Linked DNA regions of Arabidopsis thaliana. The protein of the gene in region 2 interacts with the protein of the main gene of each other region in a pairwise test. Each region holds a gene or a part of one and is shown on either strand. Other genes may lie near its edges. The genes, in order: ABCD2, AT5G52420, PHT4;1 and MGT9.

Region 1 (6,692 bases), on a different chromosome or scaffold from region 2:
TTGCCAACCAATGAGAAAACAGATGCATCAGGAGGTGCATTTGGTAGAGGAGCTTCGATAACCTGCACAAGAGACCATGAAGGGAAGCTTAATAACAATAAACAACATTTCACCATCTTCTTCATTCATGGCCAATCAATGAAGCTTACATTCTTGAGCTCGACATCTTTGTCATCGAAGAAGTATAGATCTCTGTTCTCAGGAGCTCTCTTGAACCGCATACTTTTGGAGCCAGAGGTAGGCTATACAAAAAAAAGTCAAAATCAGGGTCAACGGTATGAAATAAAAGAAGAAGAGAGGAAGAGGAAACCTCCAAATTCCTGAAATGAAGAGCAGAATCGACATCATGAGCCATTAAAGTGGTGCGTCGAGCATGACGCATGCATTTGATAGCTTCCTGGAGATTGCGACGACAAGTTAAAGAGGAGATTAGAGGGCAAAAGTAAAGTTGAAGTTGATGATATACCTGCATGACCTCTCGGACGCGATACTCGACATCGGGAGCAAGAGCGGCTGAGACGTCCGGAGAAAGAGTGGAGAGTCCAATGCTCTGAGCTATCACTTCAATGGATTCTTTCGTCACCATCCTCCTTGCGCCTTCTTTCTTTTTCGACTTTGAGCGACTGAGTCGAGTCAGTCGTGTTACATTTTCTCACTCTATCAGGCTTTCTCAAATGGGCCCATCGTTAGATTTATTGGGCTTATGATAAATACTCAGCCGGTTTTGAATTTTTAGCTCATCTCGCGTGTTATTTTTAATCAGAACTTCGTTGCACTCGTATCTGTATCAATCTCTCTATTTACTTGCATCTTCAGTCAACGTCAAGTCTGGTAGATTATATACAAAATGGACACCAAACATGTTTCTTATATGTTTCATGACACCCGTTTGCAGATTTACCTGCTGCTTCTGTCTCTTATGTAATCAATCAGGTTTTGATCAGCTTTCACTTGGCACCTCCTTTTGATTCAATCTACCGTACAAAGAATCTTGGGCATCCACGTCCTCTATTCGCCAGTTACGTTCATTGCTCTTCGGGTCTGCCGTTGAGATTTGTAAGATCTTGTTATGGAATTTCGTTAAAGTCCGGCGGTGGCCAATGCTTATATATGTAATGCCAGCCGACTGGATTTGCTGGTACAGGAACGCCTGGGCATCAAGAGGAATTTTAATGGCTCAACGCTACATGTACATGATATTATTCTAAATGATAGATGAGAGGAGAACCAACAAGTACCTCATTAGCTTCATCCAACGCACTGGTGGATTCATCCAGGAGCGCCAGCTTTGGCTGAGACAGCAATAACCGTGCAAAGGCAAGGCGCTGCTGCTCACCAAGTGAGAGAACACTGGACCACTCGTGTATCGAATCAAGACCACCAAAGCGATCCGCTATATGTCCAAGACAAACCTTCTCTAGAGTCCGCATCAGATCATCTGTTGTCGGCTTTTCATTTCCGTCCTCTCTAATCAGCAGAGGTGGTGAACCTAACAAAATCAACGCATTTTTTCTTCAGTCGATTTGCTTTTGGGTTCTATAATCTGCTTGCATAAACTTAAATGGAGTTGAAAGAAATGGTTGTTACTAGACACAAATTTAAACTGAGTACCGTCAATATTACTGCCACCAGGTGTCGTCTCCTCCACAGTTGCACTCCAGGTAGGATAAAGCAATTGCTGACGCAAAGATCCCAGAACCATATAAGGCCTTTGTGGAAGGAACAATACGTCTCCTCTTTTCCCTGAATTTTCCTGAGTATCAGATTTCTCCTGTGTAAAATCTACCTCAGGATCGAGGTAGAACGTGATTTTTCCTTTCCCTGACCTCCAAAGACCAGCCATTGCTCTTAGCAGCGAAGTTTTTCCACTCCCACTAGGACCCATTATCTGTTAAATGGCATTTTTAAGTAACTTCCAATCTACCAGTCACATGCTTTAAACACAAGTAGTCAAAGTGAACTAACCAGTAGGTGATCCTTGTCATATACATCTGCAGATAAGTTGTGAACCAATGTGGTTCCGTTTGTTGGTGTCTGAAGAGTAAGCTCCTCGATCTCCAGACGCTTTTGGTTCGGTTGGGACTTGATTGAACCATTGGTGTCCAGCAGTGAAGAGTTCATCTCACTCTGATATGTCAGCTCAATCTCGTCCACAGTGTCAGATGGATCTCTGAAGATGTTGTTATCCAAAAGATCATCAAATTCACCTGTGTTGGAAGAAGTCTTGATATTGTTAGATGCGTAAAAGGAGAATCCCAACCTACAGCAAATGCAGTTTTTCATTTAGCCGTAGAAGTTGATTTGCAGAAACAATGAAACTTTGTGAATATGTTGTACATAAGACATAATTTAGACCCAATTTTAAGCAGGAAAGTGAACAGCTGACTCGATCTTTTTGTCTGCCCATCACACTCTCAACGGTTACACCCGCATTTTTTTCCGGGTATTCACTCTTAGATATTATAAACAAAATCTTACTACTATACAGTCTAACTATTATCTATATATTCTTATCAAAATCCTACTATACACCACACTCTATACTGTTATAACACAAGAAAATAACTAACTACAGCGACACACTGCAACTTCTACTCTTCGATATTCTAAACAAAACCCTACTACTAAAATATCTATTTCTCACCATCAGGTAACAGAAATTATGGTGATGTGCATATTCTGCGTCTAATGTTGTTCGGTATTGATCTAAGGTCTTGTGTGATCTGTAAGCAACAAGTAGTATATATATAGAACATTAAAAGAGAGTGCAGAATACATAATTAATCTACCTAGTCGATCAATGACAGCAGAAAAAGAGCTGATAGCTTGAAACTGATAGACAACGAGCGAGAAGTCTCCTAGGATATGATTGAATGCAGACACTGACTGGTTAATGACACCAAACTCAATCTTCCCGGAGAAATACATTGGGGCAACAACAGCAACTGGAAGAATCTGAATGAGGTAGCGATATCCATCGGTGAAGAATTCTAGGTTTCTAGATGCTATCAGCAATTCCTGCAGGTGAAAAAATTGAATGTAATTTATTGTGCAATCTATAGATATATATATAAATGGATAAGAAAGCTCGAGAAATTTTACAGTTAAATTATCAAAAGCGCTTCTGAAACGCTGAAGCAGAAGCTGCATTTCATTCTGTTCGCCTCCATAGAAAGCAATAGATTCAGCATTTTCCCTCACTCGTACAAGGCTGTAACGAAAGTCAGCCTCTTTCTTCTCTTGTAGAAAGTTGAGATTCACTAGTCCCTGAACACAAGAGGGAATGTTAATGCAACAAAGCCAAAATCTGAAGCGGAACAGAATAGAGACAATCACACTGCTTAACGAGGCATTGTTGTACCTTGCCAAGAAAGACACTGATGGCTGTACCGCCAAAGGAGTAGAGCAAGAGAACGAGAAAGAGAGGAGGATAAATGGTGAAGAGGATGTTGCTAAAAGAGATGAGATCAATGGTGGCATTAACAAGCGTCAAAGAGAAAGACAAGGCAGTTCCAGTGAAGGAACTCAAATCGTCAACAAGGCGCTGATCAGGATTGTCGATGATAGACTGAGACTGGATCTTGTAAAAGGTTTGATCTTTGAGATAGCGCTGCAGGTAATATTTGGTCATCCATGATCTCCATCTCAGTGATAAAGTCTCTTTTGTATAATCTCGTAGCACAAAGAACTGCAAAATCCAGGGAAAGTGAACAACATCATTCATTGAGATTGGATACAGAGGGAGGAGCGTGAGGAAAACTCACCGGAATGCCGCCGGCGAAAGCACAGAGGTAATAGAACAACTGCTTGGTGAATTGCTCTTGGTCTTTGTCTATTGAACACAGAGAAAAGAGGATCAACAGAGCAAGTTGTTTTTGAAAAGTGAGAAATGAGAGAGAGAGTTGAAGAATTCGTACTGGCGAGAGAATTGTAGAAATCACGGCCGAGGAAATTGAAGCCGACGCTAATGCCGGTGGTGGCGAGAGTAAGGGCGAAGACGGCGGCGAGACGAAGCCTGGCTTGGTCTTTGTCCTCGGAAAACCAATAAGGCGACGCGACTTTGTAGAATTTCTTCCACAGAGTCTTCAACTCCGATGCCTTATCCGGACGAACCGACGGTTGCGGCAACAAAGAAGAACATGATACGGTTCTGAAACGTGGATTTTTCTTCCGATGAAAGTTTCCGATCGATGATTCATGGCGAAGCAAAGAAGAATGGCGTAGGAGAAGGTGAGGAGGACAAACGGGAGCTGTTATCATCAAAATCATCCTCCGTCGTCTTCTTACTAATCCCACATAGCCATAGCAACTTGAGGGAGCAAGAGGGAACACTTATAACTAAAGCTCAACCATTCATTTCTTTGCCAGATAAATAATACAAAGGGAAAGAGAAGATAATGACAACGAGAACGTAGCCATTTCTGTTGATTGGTAGCTTTTACAACAGAGATTATACAGAGAAAGAAGGGCTAAAAAGATTCAATTTTTAACGAATCAATGAGGAGTGAGTCTCGGCTTTGGGAAATCTGAGTTCCTCAATAAATTACCCAATTAGTCTATCTCCTTTTATTCATGCAATAGCCCCTTTTCAGGCTTTAAGTTCTACACCTATGAAAGAGCATCAAATCAAACATCACGCTGCTGAGACTCTTTGCTTTTCAGATTTCCATTCTTTCTTCTCACAACCTGGAGTTGTTGCCTAACAATCTTCTTTTTAACTCCCATGCCACCGCATCAATGAACTCTTCCGTATTCACATACTGATCCCTCCTAACCCTGTTCAAATAGTAGACAAAAACTTATCTTTAAACATTTTTTATTAAGTGCATCAACCTCATCAACTTTCTCTCAAGTTTTAGTCTTACTTGGCTCCGTGGATCAGAAGAGCTAGATCCTTGGTCATTTTGCCAGACTCCACCGTCCCCATGCAAGCTGCTTCTAGTTTCTCAGTATAGCTCAAGAGTGCGGCATTGCTGTCCAGCTTTGCCCTGGTACCATCACATACCAAACATCTTGTTAAGATGAACTCAACCAGTTTTCAGAGACTTTAAACTCAATTTATGCCAAAGGTAAAACGGTTCACATAGTTCAGTGATCAATTATAAAGAGACAAGTAATGACAAATCTTACCACAAACAATCCCTGATAGACTAACTCATTATTGAAGCAAGGGACTGGATTTTCTCCAGAGTAGCAACACGAATTACCAAGTATGAAAATGTTTAAAGACAGTGGAAATGCGTTACCTGTGGGCAAGGCCTCTGGACCAAGCAAAAATAGAGGCTATGCTGTTGGTGCTTGTTTCACCACCTTTCTGGTGAACTCTGTAGTGGCGTGTAACTGTGCCATGAGCTGCTTCTGCTTCAATGGTCTTTCCATCTGGACAAACCTGTAATATATCTCAAATTTAATACATAAAATATAATGATGCGCAGGAAACATGTTATCATGATAAAGACCAAAAACTTTGGCTGAGGCCCGCGTCATTTCATACCAACACCGAAGTCATCATTCCCAGAGATCCATATCCTGCAGCGGAGAGCAGAAACTTTGTTTCATAAGGAGAAATAAAATTGAAGTTTCTGTCCCCATTTAGATCACAAGTAAAGAACAAAGAACCATGATACAAGACCAAAATGCATTTGGCAGAATTAAGGTTTCAGTCCCTAGACAGATCTCAAATTTAAGAGGAAAAACCTTGGGCTAAGAAATCGCTCTGTACATCTCCATCGTAATTCTTGCATGCCCAGACGTAACCCCCTTCACTTTTCATGGCATATGCAACCATATCATCTATCAAACGATGCTCATACCTGGATTTCATTAACTTTGTTTACAAGTTTGCATGGTGTACTGTAATAGAATGTCGCTAATAACATGCACATCTCACCATATCCCTGCTGCTTCATACTTGGATCTCCAGTTAGCTTCATAAACTTCTTGGAATATATCCTTGAATCTGAAAACAAGATGAAAAGGTAATATCAGGGCAGTATGACTAGATGGTGAAATGATTTCGGTGAGACTCTAACAAGAAAGTATAAAGGCCAGTGAATTCACACCTTCCATCATATATTTTGAGGATGGTGTTTTTTGTGGAGAGGTAAAGTGGCCACTTTTTCTGGTAAGCTGTGTACATCGAGGACTCAGCAAATGCACGAATAGACTGTTCAAAAATGAAATCGGACCACCATATCAATAGATACTCTGTAAGTGTATTCAGATAGTGCAGACATGAAGGAGAGGACTATTTCAATAATATCTACCTCATCAGTGTTATACATGGCTAAAGCAACACCTCCACCGGTGAAATTGAAGACTTCGAATTCTGTTTTCTGAGAAGATCCACTTGGCTCTGCATATGTAAGATATGATTTTTAACGTGTATAAATAAACTTCCACAGGTAGGTGAATTCAATGACAATGATCCCCCATTATTCTCTATAATGAACAATTTAATTGAAGGGTTAGACAGATCCAGAACGGGAGGAGGAGATTACCAAAAACTAGTTTCAGTTTTCCTGGTTCATTGACAATGAGATCAGTGGCTCTATACTGATCACCAAAAGCATGCCTTCCAATACAGATTGGCTTCGTCCATCCTGAGGAAATGAAATCAGAGGGATTTGTTTTGCTCTACATGTTAAAGGTACAGAAAATGGCTAACTCATACAAAAAGAGCAGCCATTGAC
Region 2 (4,298 bases):
CCTCAATCTGTCTTTACCGTTGGACCTTATGCTAATGAAACTCAACCAGTCACTCCTCCGGTGTTCTCTGCGTTTATAACTGAGCCATCTACTGCACCGTATACTCCACCTCCTGAATCATCAGTCCATATAACTACACCTTCTTCACCTGAAGTGCCCTTTGCTCAGTTGCTTACTTCTTCGTTGGAGCTAACTCGGAGGGATAGTACTAGTGGGATGAATCAAAAGTTTTCGTCTTCGCACTATGAGTTTCGGTCTAATCAGGTGTGTCCGGGGAGTCCTGGTGGTGGTAATCTAATCTCTCCCGGGTCAGTGATTTCAAACTCTGGTACATCTTCTCCTTACCCTGGTAAATCACCCATGGTTGAGTTTCGAATAGGCGAGCCTCCAAAGTTCTTGGGTTTTGAGCACTTTACAGCTCGTAAATGGGGATCGAGGTTCGGTTCTGGATCGATCACACCTGTTGGGCATGGTTCAGGTTTGGCTTCAGGCGCTCTGACACCAAATGGTCCAGAGATAGTATCTGGAAACTTAACACCCAACAATACCACATGGCCTCTTCAAAATCAGATCTCTGAGGTCGCTTCACTGGCAAATTCGGATCATGGCTCTGAAGTCATGGTAGCAGATCACAGAGTTTCGTTTGAGTTAACAGGTGAAGACGTTGCACGTTGTCTTGCAAGCAAGCTAAATCGATCACACGACAGAATGAACAACAATGACCGGATCGAAACAGAGGAGAGTTCATCAACAGACATAAGAAGAAACATAGAGAAAAGGTCAGGAGACAGAGAGAACGAACAGCATAGAATTCAGAAGCTGAGTTCCTCATCGATTGGATCTAGCAAAGAATTTAAATTCGACAACACGAAAGACGAGAATATCGAGAAGGTTGCAGGAAACAGCTGGAGTTTCTTCCCGGGGTTACGATCTGGAGTCAGCTAACCAAATTAAAATGACATCTCTTCTTCTTCTTCCTCATTACCAAAGACAGAGATATAAAACCCTATAAGTAACAAACCTTGAACATGGATCGTGAAAAAAGGTAAGAGATTTGGGTTCTAACAACTTATACACACTGAATAAATAAGCTTAAAGCTTTGATTTGCAGTTAACTTCTGTACTCATGTAGTTGGAAACTTTGGAATATTCTTGGATCAGCTCCTACATCTAATCTTGTTACATTGATATAAATTGTTTATTTCTTGTTTTACTGTTTCATACAAATATATTGTTTGAACTGAGATCGTGAATGGTCTTATTCTATATCATTACTAAAACATTTTCATTTCTGTTCTTTCAGAAACATAGATTCGGTTATTATCGTAAGAAATCTAATACAACTGTGAACTACTACATAAACTGAATTGTTCAAAAGAAAACATCGAAATAATATACAGAACAAAAAGGGAAAACAACAAGAGCTGTGAACCACAAAGGAATTAAACCGGGTTTTGACTCTCCTTATTGGAACCGGAACTAAACCGGGATTTCAATCCTCCTTATCAGAACCGTAATACCTCTTAAACGCTCTGGGTAGATAAACCGGAATCAAAACACCAAAGAGATTAAACGACCAAATCCCTAAATTAGCCGCCGCCAAAACTTTCCCGGCATACATCCGCCGCGCAGAAACCGTCCCCGTCACATCCTCCCTCGAGAACTCACTCATAATCCACTCCACAAGAGTCAAAACCCTCCTGGCGTTGTAAACAATCGGAACAAGAATCCTCGCCGGAGCAGAGAAGCCAAACATGGTCGCTAATCCTTCCATAAAAATCTGACTCGCTAAAAGAAACACGTGCGGTGCAGCTGCGCTAACACCGTTCTTATCATCCTCAACGATTCCTTCGAAGATGTAACAGATCGGAATGATAAGCCCGACGATCCCCGCCGCTGTAACATAGATACGGAAGATTTTGTTTGTGGAGCTTGTGAGAGGAGCGTCACGGTTTGGATTGTTGTGTGGTGGGAAGATAAGTTTCGAGAGGAAGAAGAAGTAGATGAGAGTGAGGATCGTGAATATGAAATCTTGGATTGTTACGAGACCACTTGCGGAGAGAACGATGATTATTGCGAGGATGTTTAGTTGTCGGAATGAGAAGAATCCGGCGGGTTTTCCGGTGGATGATACTGTTGAGGTGGATTGGGTTTGATGTTCTTCTTCTTCTTCTTTGGGTAAGGTTATGTCGTTGTACGTTGGACCGACACCTCCAGACATCGTTTTGGTGTAAGTTTTTTTTTTTTGTTTTCTCGGGAAAATGTGGTGAGAAAGTTTTAGAGGTGGAGGAAGATAAAAAGAGTGTGAAGAAGGGGACACGTGGCGGATAGTGAAGAGTTTTGAATGGAAGAGGTTTAGAAGACGTGGCGGATTATTGTTGTGCTCACAATTAGTTTAGATTTTATTATTTTAACTACATGCAGGTAATTTCGTAAAAGTTCTTAAGAAACATATAAATATATGTGTTAATAGGAAGCCTAATTATTTTGGCTTTCTGGACGTAAGTGCACTAGGCTTTGTAGTTATAGATTTCAATTATAAGCTTCAATGATTACTAGTTATAAAAAATGATATAATTAGTTAGCAGGAAATGAATCCGGAACCATAAACTGTAGAATTGATTTAACTAAAAAGGAACTAATTACTAGAAATCGTATGAAACAAGGCATTGTAGATTACTAGACTTGTAGTAGAATATGGAATATTGTAGATATTCTACAAGAAGAGCTTAGATCATGGGTGAGAATACTTGGTTGTAGAAACAACTTTAAATTCGACCTCCAATGTCAAAGTGTCATTGTCCAAGTAATTACACTCCCGATGGCTATAGCCGCAAAATCTTCGCAACCCCACCCTTGAGTTGATTTCTTGTAACAGACGTTAACTGCAAGAAAAATAAATATATGTAAGGTATTGAAAATTTAGTTAAGACTTGAAAAAAGCAACTAAGTGATTTATTCAAGAATATAGAAAATTGTGTTTCAAAGTTAATTATACGTTTCTGTGTGACGTGATTGTTGTATACATGTGGACGTGGGTATAATACTCGGAGATCTGCATGCACGTAAATCTTCTCATCCTCCGAAAAGGTTTCACTATCAGCTATATATATGCAGAAATAAGGACAACCATTTGCCATCTGCCTCTCTTCCCTTTGGATACATCTTCAAACACCTATAGAAAAGTCACATTATTTTGTATACACTTAGCATACATAGACGTGTATATATATTCAATGACTTATTAGCCTCACCATTCTCTTCCTCCAACTGAAAAGTTGTTTGACACATAAAGATTCTCTGTCAATAAGGAGAAACCATTGGCACTCCAGGAGAATGTGGATGGTGAGAGTTTCTGATCAAAAGACATCACTTCCCAATTGGTAAGGGGTGGAACAACCATCACTTCAACACCAAACTCGCATTTTTGCCCGTCGAATATATATCCATTTTTTGGATTTTCGAATAAGTGGAGAGGAAGCATTTGAGAGAATCCCCATACCATTCTTAAAGCATTGAAACGCTTTACTTCAGTATCTATTAGAAAAAATGGAGTAATTCAACGTGACATATGTGACAAATGAACAAGTCTTATATAGTTAATATAAATATTGAATAATATAGATATGTTTTAAACCAACAACTTTGAATAGTAAAGTACATTTGTTCTTTCTTATTGTAGACGAAGAACTTGACATATGCAAAAACTTCAGATGTGCTGTCTATTTCTACGTACATTGAAATATAACCACTTCCATGGTCCTCGTCGTTCCCTTTTGGATATATAATCAATTTCCTGCAGGTTTTCTTTTTAACAGAAATATTATTGCATAAAGTAAGAAAGATTCATGTTCTTTTCTTATGATGAAGATTTAATTTAACCCTTCAGGAGCTAATGTGTACATAGTAAAATCATGGTCTATATGTGTTACATGTCTCATAAAACATAAATGGTAATATATAAGAGCAAGATTATAGCTACATACCAGTAATACCCGCCTACCGTGAAACGACGAGATTGGTATTTTTCATTGTTAAGTTGTGCGAGATTCTCAATCTTGACAGAATAGCAAGAAGGCGAGGATGTTCCGTGAAACTGCTCGCAATCGTAGAAGTTGGATTTGAGCATGTCGTTTCACCGTATGATAACGTTGTTGCATTCGAAATTGTGTTACCCATTCTTCATGAACCTTATTGGAAAGCAGAAAGAATGTTGCCAGATAGCGTTACATATAGAGAACACAAAATCTCTTATGATATCGTTTTTCAACTTTTAATGTGATTTAATCAAAGATTCA
Region 3 (6,281 bases), on a different chromosome or scaffold from region 2:
CTCTTTTTTTCTCTACTTTTGTGTAGCCTCAAGTCTCAAGTAAGGTATCTGCAATATATAAAGGTTAGTTTATCTCAGCCTCTCCAGGAGTCAAAAGAATTTGTTCACATTTCTTCTGTGCACACACCTGAGTGATCATCAAATAGGAACAATACCGAAAGGTTGCTTTAAAGAAAGAACCTTTATCGCTTAAACAAATGGTTTTATTACCTCTGCGGACCATCTTATACTTACTTTCCCTAATGGAAATGTAGAAAAACTAAAAACAGTCTTTTTCTTTTGCTCTATGGCTGCCTTTGCTTTCCAAATTTCGGCGTTTAAGTTTCTGATATCTTTAGATCTGTTAGTTATTACAATCCTTTTGACATAAAGTATCTAAAGTAAGTATGAAATTGAACCTACCTGCTTATATTTTATTTGTATATGTTTTGAATGTCTACAGTAATCATTGCTTTAAGTGTTAACATGTCATTATTGATACATTATTAAGAATCATGGCTTCTCTGGTCTCTACCTGAACTCTTATAGGCAACTTGTTCAGCATCAATCCCTATAAATATAATCCCTTACTCTCCTCAAGTTTGTTCTCACTCTCTCTTGATATGTCAGCTACAGGAACAAAACGGTTCAATGCAAACACTAGACCAGTAACTCCTGGTAAGCAATCCTCAGTCAAGGGACCATATTATAAGAATCCGGGATGCACAACAAGCTGTGGTTTGAGGCTACCGAGGAAAACGGAATGCACAGCAGCAAGACTGATCAAAGATCTCAGCTGTAAATTCGTTATGGGCTTACGTCTGGTGGTGATGAGGAAGAAGAAGAAGAAGAGATCTCCACCATTGAAGAAGGCTTCTTCTTCTGGGATATCTCAGCCTTCAGTCATCTCTGTCGTTAATGATAATAATCACAGATCAGCGGCAATAGAAGACTGCATACAATTCATAAACTCCTCTTCCTCCTTCACAAGATCAAATTCTACCTGTGGCAGTAAATCTTAAGTTTTAGTTATGACCTTAAGTTTCGAAAACTCTTTCTTGGTCACTTGTTTGCTACGCAATAGCATATTAGAGAATTGCGTGTAATATCTTTATGATACAAATATATATAGAGCTGAAGAGAGATTTTGAGTAATCTTGAGAAAGTGTGAGCTTTGTTTATTTACAAAAAATCATCTGTATATCTTTCATCTACAAAGTATTATTCATATGCGTTTGGCCTAAATCAACGAGCAGAAAGATCCTGAAGAATTTTCTGGCAAAAAAGGAATATTCCGGCTAGCTCTCAGACTGCAATGATACTTGTATAATCAGAGACTGGCGTGAGGTGAAGTTGCACCTGATGAGAGGTCTTGGAGCCGAACTATTTACTATTCTCGGAATGGATCAATCGATTATCTTCTCTCCGGTTGAAAATAGGTTCCAAATGACGGTCCCAACGAGGTAAAGACCGACCGAAATCGTGAAAACGTCATCCCAAGAACCTGAGGCATTTCATGTCATTGTTAATTCCATTGAGAAAACACAAAAAAAATGAAACTTAGAAGAGATTTTATAAAGATTAAGCAAAGCATTGTCAGAATTACGAAGTGTTTTGAGAGTACTGACCGTGTTGTAGTATGTGACCAGTCGCAGCTGTGCCAAGAACTCCGGCAAGTACTCCAGCAGTATTAGACAAACCAAGTAACACTCCCTGAGAAGACCAACAACATCAATGTGCTAATCCATTTTCTTTTGAGTAGCATGATTCATTAAGACTTGGGAGTAATTGACTAAACTTACAGAGTATCTTGGAGCGATGTCTTGATGGTTAGAGTATAGACCAGACTGTGAAAACGCATCAGTCCCCTGACTACAAGCCATGCACAAAACAGCCATTGTAGGAGAATCTATGTGTTTCAGCTGTGTTAGGAAGAACGCTGGTCCAAGAAACCCTATTGTTTGCATTATCTGAATTTCATCATAGAAACTGATTATCGAATGTATCACTTTTACTAGATTGCATCAAAACGGAACTGAAGAACAGAAGAAGTGATATACAAAGTACCTTGCGGACATTCGTGACAGAGAAACCTCGGCTGACAAGTGTATCGGCAATCCATCCACCGGCATTTGCAGATATTGCCATTGTCATCCATGGAAATACAGAGAGAAGTCCTGACTCCATAAGGTTGAACTTCAGCACCTGCCTCACAACCGTCCATATGATTAATGATAAGAAAACAAATAAAACATCAAGCCTCTTGATTAAAAGACAGTAATATAACGGACTTGATGGTAATAAGTTGGCATCCATGTTAAGAGAATGAATGTTCCCCAGTTGTGACAAAAGTGGCAACTGATGAGAGCCCAAACCGGTGGTTTCGACAATATCAGCCTCCACGGGATCGACTTCACTGGCTCTTTGCTAGCACAGTTGTCTGCAATTAGCTTTCTTTCTTCAGGGAGCAATGTTGGATCTTCTAATGGTGAACTCTCTGCCTATAACAAGTAACAACACACGTCAAATCGTCAATGGTAATGAGATATGGGATCTACAAATAGTTAAGAACAGTAGAAAAAGTCTGACCTTAGTTAGCCACAGAGTCAACCATACAGTTCCAAGAGACCCGAAAGAATAAAACACAGAAGGCCATCCAAATTGATGAATCAAGAAAGGCGAAAAGGCTAAACCGGTGACAGATCCAAGGTACATTCCGCTGTAAACAAGCGCGAGTGATCTGCTTCTCTCTTGCACAGGAACCCACTTCGACAATATATTATTCATAGCAGGCATTGCAACACCCTGGAGAACACAAATGAGAACTTACTTCTCCTTATCAACACACACAAATCCGAGACTGATATCTAACATCACTAAGAGTAATCACAAACCTCTCCAACTCCCATGAAAGCACGAACAACGAGCAAGTAAGGAAGACCGAGTTTAGCAGCTACAGGAGTGAGAATTGTAGCGATTGACCACCAAATAACACCGAATCCAAGAACCCTTTTCCCTCCTACAGTGTCTGCCCAAATTCCACCAGCTATCTATAATATCAACAAACCACTGATTCAACTACACTTTTGATTTAAATGTGAAAGCTAGTGAGACTCATTTAAAAAAACATTGATCATCTAAAAATAGAAACCCTAATTAAGGAATCAGGGAAAAAAGATTACCTGTGTAAGAAGGTAACCCCAGAAGAAAGAAGACTGAATCAGACCAACTGTTGCTGGATTCCAACCATACTCAGCTGACATCGGAAGTATAGCTATACTCATATTCACCTGTTAAAACATCATCTGTCCCAAATTGAATAACTCTTCCCAATCCATAAAAATCCAATCTTTTTTGCTACTTACTCTGTCCATATTGCAGAGAAGAAAAGCTGAGAAACAGAGTAACACAATCACCCACCGCTTCGGAAACTCTTCCCACCATGGGAGGACGATAGAGCTAGGCGAATCAGAAACGACGTCATTGTTTCCACTTACTTTATCTCCTTCTACGTAATACGAATTACTGCTTTCACTCTTGTCGGAGCTCCGAACTAATACCCGGAAAACACTGGACCTATTTCGCGGGTAGATCCATACCCGTAACGACTTTGGAGATGGTTTGAGATTACGGAGGCTGCGAGAAGAAGAGGTTTTTTCAGGTGGACGATTTGAAGTGTAGAGAGAGTGAATATTTGAAGAGCAAAGAAGAGCTCTCGCGTTCATGGCGGAGATAGATTTTTTCTTCTTCTTCTCTGTTTTTTTCTTCTTTGTTTTAAGAGAGAGGAATTGATTTTTTTTTAAGGTCGTGGCTGATGTGACGACATGTGGCGTTTAAGTATTGGTTGAGTGAGGATGTCATAATCTAACGGGAAGTAACGGTTAACAGAATAACTATTGGAGGTCCATTATTAACTATCAGTTTAACATAAAGCCCATATAAGGCCCAAATAATGTTAGCTTACGAGCATAAATTGCGAGATCTATCTTACTTCCCCAATGAAAAAAAAATCTCAAAGATTTGGAAGTAGACCTATGAATAGAATTACAATAATACGGCAATACCAATAACAATAGTTTATTGTCCGTAAGGATATGAGTATGACCAGTGATCTACTTTATGTGGAATAAAGGCAGGATCCAAAGGTGGAACCCAAACCACCCACTAATTGCGTTCACAAAGATGCGAAAGAATATTTAATCCAACAATTGATTAAGTATCCCATGCGAGAGAGTATTGATCATGATATTCAAAATTAAGTGTAAAATGTCAATTTGTATGAACGTATGGGATAATAATGTTGAGGACGAATAGACAGAGGTAAATGTCAATCAAATTTGGTAATGTTTGATGTATTCTTAGTCGATTACATTGATTACATTCTTACATATTTGTAAATTAGTGAAATGTATGAAATATATGTAGCTAGATAGAACAAAGAATCTATAAAACTTGTAACAAAATCACAATTAGAAGATTAACGTTTGCAGCTTTCTTATTTATTAATGGAGGAGGTCCAAGTTTAGGGGATGAGAATGATGTAAGATTGTGGTGCGGCAGATTTTACTCATCGAAGGTGTCCCTTCTGGTCTACCATAAGAATTTCCTAGCTTAGGCTTTTATGAATTATGACTGCCACTTTTATTTATTTTATTCTTCTTTTAAGTCATCATTATTGTTGTTGTATCGTTATTTCTTTGTTGCATGCGTTATCCATTTACCAACATCTACCACTGTGTCGTCAAGGTCTTCCAAAATCTAAACGAAACGTAAAATTTATGTACCAGTAATTCATCACTCCTAAAAAAACACTTGATGATTTTCACCAATTGATATAACGACGTAACGAGATCACTAAACTATACGGATCATGCATGTTGATCTATCGGCACGTAATATTGTAGGTGTAGACTATAACCTAGGTTATGGTATTCAATTCAAAGACGTCCAATTCAGAAATATGAGATGGTGTCATGTTACTATTAGATCCGTACCAGTCACTAAACAAGAAGGCAAGATTCATTTCTCAAGAGGTAGAAACGCAAACTTAGGCCGTAAAGACACAAGAATGCCAACTTCATGTGGATGGAGACAGGAAGAGCTTCGAAATGACCCACTTTCCAAAAGTACATGCTTCTCTCACGTGGCCCACTTCTCCAATTATCATTCACCATTTCAATCATTCATCACTAACTCTCCTTTCTCTATTATTTTATTTCTATATTTATTAGCTAAACGACATCTAAGCTATAACCAAATTACACTTTCTAGATTTGGTTATATGAGAAAAAATAATACGTTTTTTAGTTTGTACAATGTGATATTCTCTACCGACAATGTGATGAAAATAATTTATCCAACCAAGTGGTAGTAATTAATCTGATTTATGACCTTCAATCGTTATCCTATATGAGCCTACGAATTAATTTTAAATAGGCGCAACTTTTTTCTACTAATCAAAATTTCCATGGTATATATAATCTCAGTGTCAAATATGACGAGTTTTCATCAATATGTAGTTATATTCAGAGTAATTAGAATATACATTTTCCAAAACAAAAATAAAATGGTGAGGCAAAACCACGATTGATTGTGATGAAAACATGAACGTGATAACATTTATATACTAACATTCATATTAAACTAAACGAATCAAAAACTTAGCACCTCCAACTGCCACTTGAATATTTCGCTTTTCTTCTCCTGAAAGCGAAACCTTAACCTAATTTTTTTTTGTCATGTTCTGTATATATAAAAAGCCTAATTAAACTGAATGAAACATTTATAAATAAAATCACTTTGTTTATTTTCTTTTAATAATTTGTTATGATCAAATGCATGGATGTGTGCATGGATCTAATTAGTAAACACATATGCACTGATGAGGCGCAGAGATTAGAAATGAGACATGTGCACGTGTTCCCCTGTCTACGTCCGCATCCTAAGCAACAAAAATTTGTGAAACCAAATATTCATATCAATAAAATAATTCTGTGTAGCCTTGGATTCCTCTAAATTTCGAGTTTGTCTTCTTTATAATTTACATTGTATACAATAATTTAAATGTAATTACATAACATCGTACAAATAATTGAAGAAAAAAATGGAGAATACATTCTATAGAAAGATGAAGAGAAAATGATTCTGTATAGAGAAGTTACAACATTGAGTATCAGTGTAAATGTGTAATGAATACCACTAAACACCCAACATGGGTTGCTCATGTGGTGTGTGGTACGTAGAGTTTGGTATTGGCTACCCATGTTCGAACTTAGTTGAAGATGGAGGAATAATTTATGCCT
Region 4 (6,359 bases), 4.5 Mb from region 2:
TACGTTAAGGGTCTTCAAGAGACTGACGGTGGCGATTCTAACCGTCTCAAAGTCGCCGCCTGCTGCAAACACTATACCGCTTACGATGTCGATAATTGGAAAGGCGTAGAACGTTACAGTTTCAACGCCGTGGTAAAAATCTAAAAGCTAAAAAGACATTTTCCAGTGTTTTAACTGTTTTTGTCAATTGTGTATGTGATGTTGTGGTTTATTTGGTTAATCCGGTTCAATGGTACTAAGTTCGGGTTGGGTACAACATTTGGTTAGACCAAATACATTTTTGAGTGTTTTAAGTAACTTTTTTTGTGCGTTTGTTTTGATGGAGTAGGTGACTCAACAAGATATGGATGATACGTATCAACCACCGTTCAAGAGTTGTGTGGTTGATGGGAATGTGGCGAGTGTTATGTGTTCTTACAATCAAGTTAACGGCAAACCGACATGCGCTGATCCAGATCTGCTCTCTGGTGTTATCCGCGGTGAATGGAAATTAAATGGGTAATGATCTGATCTGATCCGATCAGCTAAGTTTAAATCCTTTTCGTGTGTTTTGGTTTTGATTTTGGTTCTATTTTTATAGGTACATTGTTTCAGATTGTGATTCAGTAGATGTCTTGTATAAGAACCAACACTATACAAAGACTCCAGCTGAAGCTGCAGCCATATCTATATTGGCAGGTTTGGATTTAAACTGTGGTTCATTCTTGGGTCAACATACAGAGGAAGCAGTTAAGTCGGGTTTGGTAAACGAGGCAGCTATCGATAAAGCGATTTCGAACAACTTTTTGACCCTTATGCGTTTAGGATTCTTTGATGGAAACCCAAAGAACCAAATCTATGGCGGGTTAGGTCCTACCGACGTTTGCACGTCTGCGAATCAAGAGCTAGCAGCAGATGCAGCAAGACAAGGCATTGTTCTACTCAAGAATACTGGATGCTTACCGCTTTCTCCTAAATCGATCAAAACACTAGCCGTGATTGGACCAAACGCGAATGTCACCAAAACAATGATTGGAAACTACGAAGGCACGCCGTGTAAATACACAACACCACTACAAGGACTAGCCGGGACGGTATCTACAACATATCTACCAGGCTGCTCCAATGTAGCTTGTGCTGTAGCGGATGTAGCCGGCGCCACGAAACTAGCAGCCACTGCAGATGTGTCTGTGCTTGTGATCGGTGCCGATCAATCAATCGAGGCAGAGAGCCGAGACAGAGTCGACCTGCATCTTCCTGGACAGCAACAAGAGCTGGTGATCCAAGTGGCTAAAGCAGCAAAAGGACCGGTCTTGCTCGTCATTATGTCCGGTGGAGGTTTCGATATTACATTCGCTAAGAATGACCCAAAGATCGCCGGAATTTTGTGGGTTGGTTATCCCGGAGAAGCCGGTGGTATCGCCATTGCTGATATCATCTTTGGCCGTTATAATCCAAGTAAGAGACTCTGTTTCAAACCGGTTTTTGTAATTGCAAATTTGAATAAACCGGTTTTGGTTATGTAGGTGGGAAATTACCGATGACGTGGTATCCACAGTCGTATGTAGAGAAAGTTCCGATGACAATAATGAACATGAGACCCGATAAAGCAAGCGGGTATCCGGGTCGGACTTACCGATTCTACACCGGAGAAACAGTATACGCATTCGGAGATGGACTCAGCTACACCAAATTCAGTCACACTTTAGTCAAAGCTCCAAGTCTCGTTTCTCTCGGTCTCGAAGAGAATCACGTTTGCCGATCATCGGAATGTCAATCGCTAGACGCGATCGGACCGCACTGCGAAAACGCTGTCTCCGGCGGTGGATCGGCGTTTGAAGTTCATATCAAGGTACGAAACGGAGGAGATAGAGAAGGGATTCACACGGTGTTTCTATTCACGACGCCGCCGGCGATTCACGGATCGCCGAGGAAGCATTTGGTAGGATTCGAGAAGATTCGATTGGGGAAGAGGGAAGAAGCGGTGGTTAGGTTTAAGGTAGAGATATGTAAAGATCTGAGTGTGGTTGATGAGATTGGGAAGAGGAAGATTGGTTTGGGAAAGCATCTTCTTCATGTCGGAGATTTAAAACATTCCTTAAGCATTAGAATCTGATTCTATATTTTTATTTGAGGAAGAAAAAAAGAATATTAATATGCTTAAGCTTTTGCAAGTTGGAAAAGAAAAGTAATAAAAAAAAGAAATTGTGAATCTCTTTAAAATTATAGCATTAGTAGCCGAAAATGTGGGGCATATATAAACATAATTCGAATATCTAAAATATATCATGTGTAATTCATGTGTAACATAAATCTAGCTAATATCAGTTAGAGTTAGATTTATGTTTGGTATTTCAATTTAAGTAAATTTAGTCTTTTTTTTTTTAATTAGTTGCTCAAACTAATAATTCTGATAACAAGCAGATAAACTCGTAGTATATCCCGATCAAAAATAAATTAATTTTTATTTTCTTAATCTAAACTAAACCGGGTTTTGTGTCGAATTTAGGTGATTCGACTCAAATATGAACAACATTTACCAGAAATCAGGGTTATTATTACCGGTTTATTGCGGTTTACATTTTAAATATAAATAAGATTCACCTCTAACAGAATATATCACGTTTTCCTTTTTTTCTGAAACTGTAAAACTCTCTCACAAAGCAAAAAAACCAAACCTAAACAAAAATCTAGAAAGAAAGATTTCCGAAAATCTTTTTAATGAAAAAAGAGCAGACAGGACGAGAATTCGCTTTTCTGAATCCTTTAGAGTATTGTTTTCTCCGTCGAATTCGCATGAACACTTGAGCTCAACAAGGTCAGATTCTCTTGTTCGCTTTTTTTTTTTTGATGAAGAATTCGACTGTTGTGTTGATGCTGGTGCTCTGAATTTTACAGACGGCGTGGAAGTGGACGGTGAGGTAGTTTTTTTTAGTTTTTGAAAGACATGGCGCAAAACGGGTACTTGGTTCCAGCGGATCCTTCGGCGGTTGTGACGGTGAAGAAGAAAACGCCACAAGCGTCGTGGGCTCTTATTGACGCGACGGGACAGAGTGAGCCACTCGATGTTGATAAGTATGAGATCATGCACCGTGTCCAGATCCACGCTCGCGATCTCCGGATTCTAGACCCCAATTTATCTTACCCTTCCACTATTCTTGGCCGAGAGAGAGCCATTGTTCTCAATTTGGAGGTTTGGTTCTGTTTTTTGGTTCTTCAGGCATTCATTGTTTCTGGGTTTTGTTTTTGTTTCAGAGTGTAATTAGTTTTGTTCCTTCTTCTTTATGCAGCATATCAAGGCTATTATCACTTCCGAAGAGGTTAGTAGTTTACTCTTTGATTCCTTTGCTTACCACACTTAGATTTGTAGGGTTTTTGCAGTAAAAAGTTTCGATTTTTATTTTGTTAGGTAGATTTTTTTCTGAATATGCAGATGTTCATGTTAAAGTTTGATTCTTTCTTGTAGCCAGTTTTTCAAAATGCTGACAATGTGTTAAGGAACTTGAGCAATCACTGAACTAGGCAAAAATTTGGCTAATTTTTCAGTTCTGTTCTTACTATGCTATAGTGTGTTGAAAGTTCATAATATCAGCCAGGCTTTGATCTATTTAGCACTATGGAATGCTTAGAGGAGTATAGCTTTTGAGTTCTCTTCTTGTAGTAATGACTTGGGCTTATTACAGGTTTTGCTTCGGGATCCGTCTGATGAAAATGTTATTCCAGTTGTGGAGGAGCTTCGAAGACGCTTACCTGTTGGAAATGCATCACACAATGGTGGTCAAGGAGACGGGAAAGAGATCGCAGGTGCTCAAAACGACGGTGATACTGGTGACGAAGATGGTATTGTCCCTAGAGACTCTTGGCTCTTTTCCTAAACCATCTAAACTCTGTGAAATTCATCTCCTTTTTGATGACCCTTAATTTGCCTTTTCATATATGTTGAAATGTCTGCTTGTTGCAATATAGAATCCCCATTTGAATTTCGGGCGCTGGAAGTAGCTTTGGAAGCAATCTGTAGCTTCTTAGCTGCAAGGACAGCAGAATTAGAAACAGCTGCTTATCCTGCTTTGGATGAGCTTACCTCAAAGGTAGGTACCTCAATGATTTATTATCACCAGTGATCCAGTTTTCAACTACATTTTTACATTCGTCTTGTAGATTAGTAGCCGTAATTTGGATAGAGTTCGGAAATTGAAGAGTGCCATGACTCGGTTGACAGCTCGGGTTCAAAAGGTGAGCAGGTATCTTTTTCTTATGACTTATGAGTATTTGTAAAGTTTGTAATATGAATAGAGAACTAAGTAGCTTCATCGCCTTTTGCAGGTAAGAGATGAACTCGAACAGTTGCTGGATGATGACGATGATATGGCAGATCTTTACCTTTCAAGGAAACTTTCAAGTGCTTCCTCACCGATTAGTAGTATTGGTGAACCAAATTGGTATACTACTTCCCCAACAATAGGCTCTAAGATTTCAAGAGCAAGTAGAGCGAGTTTAGCCACAGTTCATGGGGATGAGAATGATGTTGAAGAACTTGAAATGTTACTCGAGGTTTGTTGATCCTGCACAAAATCTTTTATCTGATTCTGATCTATCTTCCATTCAAATGCCAAGTCCAAATACACACGTCTTGATATCTTTACAGGCATACTTCATGCAGATCGACAGCACTTTGAACAGATTAACAACAGTTATCCTCTTGCTCCCTTTTCTTTCTGTTCTTTTTTGCAGACTTTTTTTACTTTAAAAACTTAATTTTTGACTCTGATGCAGCTACGTGAGTATATTGATGACACAGAGGACTACATTAACATCCAGGTATCCAAAAACGAAACCTCAAAATTTTTAACATGTTCTTGAAATCTGAATATAAGTCATTATATTAAAAGCTAAAACTCGTCGGTTTTCTATTCACAGCTTGACAATCATCGGAATCAGCTTATTCAGGTACGTGAATGTCGAAAGCCAAAGTTTTTTTAATATGTCATCTTCTTTTGTTGATCATCTTCAAAATCCTGCAGTTGGAGCTAGTGTTAAGTTCTGGAACAGTTTGCTTATCGATGTACTCTCTTGTCGCTGGAATTTTCGGGATGAACATTCCATACACATGGAACGACGGTCATGGATACATGTTCAAATACGTAAGAAACCAGAATTCTATTCGCATGAGGATGAAATAAAGATCTCTCTCAAGATTAACTTATGTTTATCGGGGTTTTTGGTTGTTGCAGGTGGTGGGCTTGACGGGGACACTTTGTGTAGTCGTGTTTGTGATCATAATGTCGTACGCTAGGTACAAAGGACTTGTGGGATCTTGATGGCTGAATTTGGGTTAGATGGAGAGATTGTGAAGGGGCATTGGGCAGATCTTGTTTTCGATTATTATACTTGTGGTCGTTCTGAGTTTTGAACGAGCTTCACAATTATTTTAGTTGTCGCATCATAAAATTTAATCAAACATATTGAAAAAAGCAGAAGCATTGTGACTTGTAATTGCAAAGATAAGCTCTACCATCGATTCCTTACAATTAGAGCATAGAAATCAAATTTAGGATCCTTGATTCCTTATTAGCTAGACAACTTTTCAATAATTATCGGTTGAAGCCCGTTTAGACCCGCGGGCTTAGTGCCTATTTTAATATCGCTAGTTGATGTTATAACGTTTCTATTTGAAGTCTCTTCATGATTTAGGTTTCCATTGTCACACACAAAAATGGTGTGTTTTGGATTCTCTTGTAAGTCTTATCAAAAGAGAAGTTTTTGAGATTACATTGGCAGAGAAGATTGGGCTAGAGTTGGGCCTGTTGATGTTTATTTTGAACAAAGTCAATTTAAAATCCATCCAATAAGGAGCTTTAGAAGAAAATATTTTATAAAATAAAAATGTATGCATGCGAACGAAGAAACAAACTCTGTCCTAAACCCTATGCTGATGAAGTCAAAACCTAAAAACATGATGTAAAATATTGCAACAAGGCTTTCGTGTTTCCACATACACATTTGTTACCAGATATGTTATTAAATGATTAAGAAGGTATAAAATATCGTCGACGTCAGCCGTTTCGCGTGGAGAGTTGAGGCCGAAGCTGACGGAATCGCCGACTAGTAAAGATTCCTTTTATTTTATGCCTTTTTTGTACTTTTTCTTTGATATATAATTCATTTTTATTTAAAATATTATGATAGATTCTTCCACTCTGCAAGGAACCTCATTGGCTGACGTAATAGGATTTGCCTCTTGGAACATCATAAAAATCACAATTTCATTCATTTAAAAGAAAATAGTCGTTCGTCTTTATTGTGGTCCTTTGGCGACAATTTTCATCACACCACGACAAAACAATTGGTATCAAATTATATAAATAAATTGTTCTTACTTC

What was found.
Region 1: the proteins of AT5G52420 (region 2) and ABCD2 interact in a protein complementation assay, tested with the Arabidopsis thaliana proteins (one large-scale study listed by BioGRID).
Region 3: the proteins of AT5G52420 (region 2) and PHT4;1 interact in a protein complementation assay, tested with the Arabidopsis thaliana proteins (one large-scale study listed by BioGRID).
Region 4: the proteins of AT5G52420 (region 2) and MGT9 interact in a protein complementation assay, tested with the Arabidopsis thaliana proteins (one large-scale study listed by BioGRID).

Annotation. Positions count from the first base shown.
Region 1 is NC_003070.9:20,284,494-20,291,185, reverse strand, and holds ABCD2 (ABC transporter family protein), read right to left. Parts: upstream 4,331-6,692; 5' UTR 4,270-4,330; coding exon 3,918-4,269; intron 3,833-3,917; coding exon 3,765-3,832; intron 3,689-3,764; coding exon 3,362-3,688; intron 3,268-3,361; coding exon 3,103-3,267; intron 3,019-3,102; coding exon 2,790-3,018; intron 2,654-2,789; exon of another isoform or gene 2,208-2,653; coding exon 1,966-2,207; intron 1,889-1,965; coding exon 1,612-1,888; intron 1,490-1,611; coding exon 1,239-1,489; intron 1,151-1,238; coding exon 941-1,150; 3' UTR 785-940; downstream 1-784. Other genes in the region: TAF6B (TBP-ASSOCIATED FACTOR 6B), read right to left, coding at 1-62, 150-397, 467-586; ICDH (isocitrate dehydrogenase), read right to left, coding at 4,680-4,776, 4,866-4,988, 5,247-5,389, 5,495-5,529, 5,698-5,813, 5,891-5,959, 6,063-6,166, 6,267-6,355 and 1 more.
Region 2 is NC_003076.8:21,279,740-21,284,037, reverse strand, and holds AT5G52420 (uncharacterized protein), read right to left. Parts: upstream 2,266-4,298; 5' UTR 2,222-2,265; coding exon 1,493-2,221; 3' UTR 1,232-1,492; downstream 1-1,231. Other genes in the region: AT5G52430 (hydroxyproline-rich glycoprotein family protein), read left to right, coding at 1-945.
Region 3 is NC_003071.7:12,672,300-12,678,580, forward strand, and holds PHT4;1 (phosphate transporter 4;1), read right to left. Parts: upstream 3,779-6,281; 5' UTR 3,705-3,778; coding exon 3,345-3,704; exon of another isoform or gene 3,270-3,344; coding exon 3,162-3,269; intron 3,030-3,161; coding exon 2,874-3,029; intron 2,785-2,873; coding exon 2,569-2,784; intron 2,481-2,568; coding exon 2,271-2,480; intron 2,185-2,270; coding exon 2,047-2,184; intron 1,969-2,046; coding exon of another isoform or gene 1,960-1,968; exon of another isoform or gene 1,950-1,959; coding exon 1,782-1,949; intron 1,693-1,781; coding exon 1,608-1,692; intron 1,484-1,607; coding exon 1,386-1,483; 3' UTR 1,002-1,385; downstream 1-1,001. Other genes in the region: JOSL (JOSEPHIN-like protein), read left to right, coding at 27-63, 610-1,001; AT2G29654 (uncharacterized protein), read right to left, coding at 4,980-5,162. UniProt on the Arabidopsis thaliana protein: Specific for inorganic phosphate transport across the thylakoid membrane in a sodium dependent manner. Binds glutamate but cannot transport it. May act as an ascorbate transporter at the thylakoid membrane.
Region 4 is NC_003076.8:25,805,963-25,812,321, reverse strand, and holds MGT9 (magnesium transporter 9), read left to right. Parts: upstream 1-2,610; 5' UTR 2,611-2,797; intron 2,798-2,877; 5' UTR 2,878-2,926; coding exon 2,927-3,172; intron 3,173-3,269; coding exon 3,270-3,299; intron 3,300-3,662; coding exon 3,663-3,819; intron 3,820-3,945; coding exon 3,946-4,067; intron 4,068-4,137; coding exon 4,138-4,212; intron 4,213-4,302; coding exon 4,303-4,530; intron 4,531-4,624; coding exon 4,625-4,669; intron 4,670-4,752; coding exon 4,753-4,797; intron 4,798-4,896; coding exon 4,897-4,926; intron 4,927-5,000; coding exon 5,001-5,120; coding exon of another isoform or gene 5,121-5,159; exon of another isoform or gene 5,160-5,201; intron 5,202-5,210; coding exon 5,211-5,297; 3' UTR 5,298-5,624; downstream 5,625-6,359. Other genes in the region: XYL4 (beta-D-xylosidase 4), read left to right, coding at 1-132, 329-498, 581-1,437, 1,506-2,095. UniProt on the Arabidopsis thaliana protein: Low-affinity magnesium transporter that mediates the influx of magnesium. Plays a crucial role in male gametophyte development and male fertility.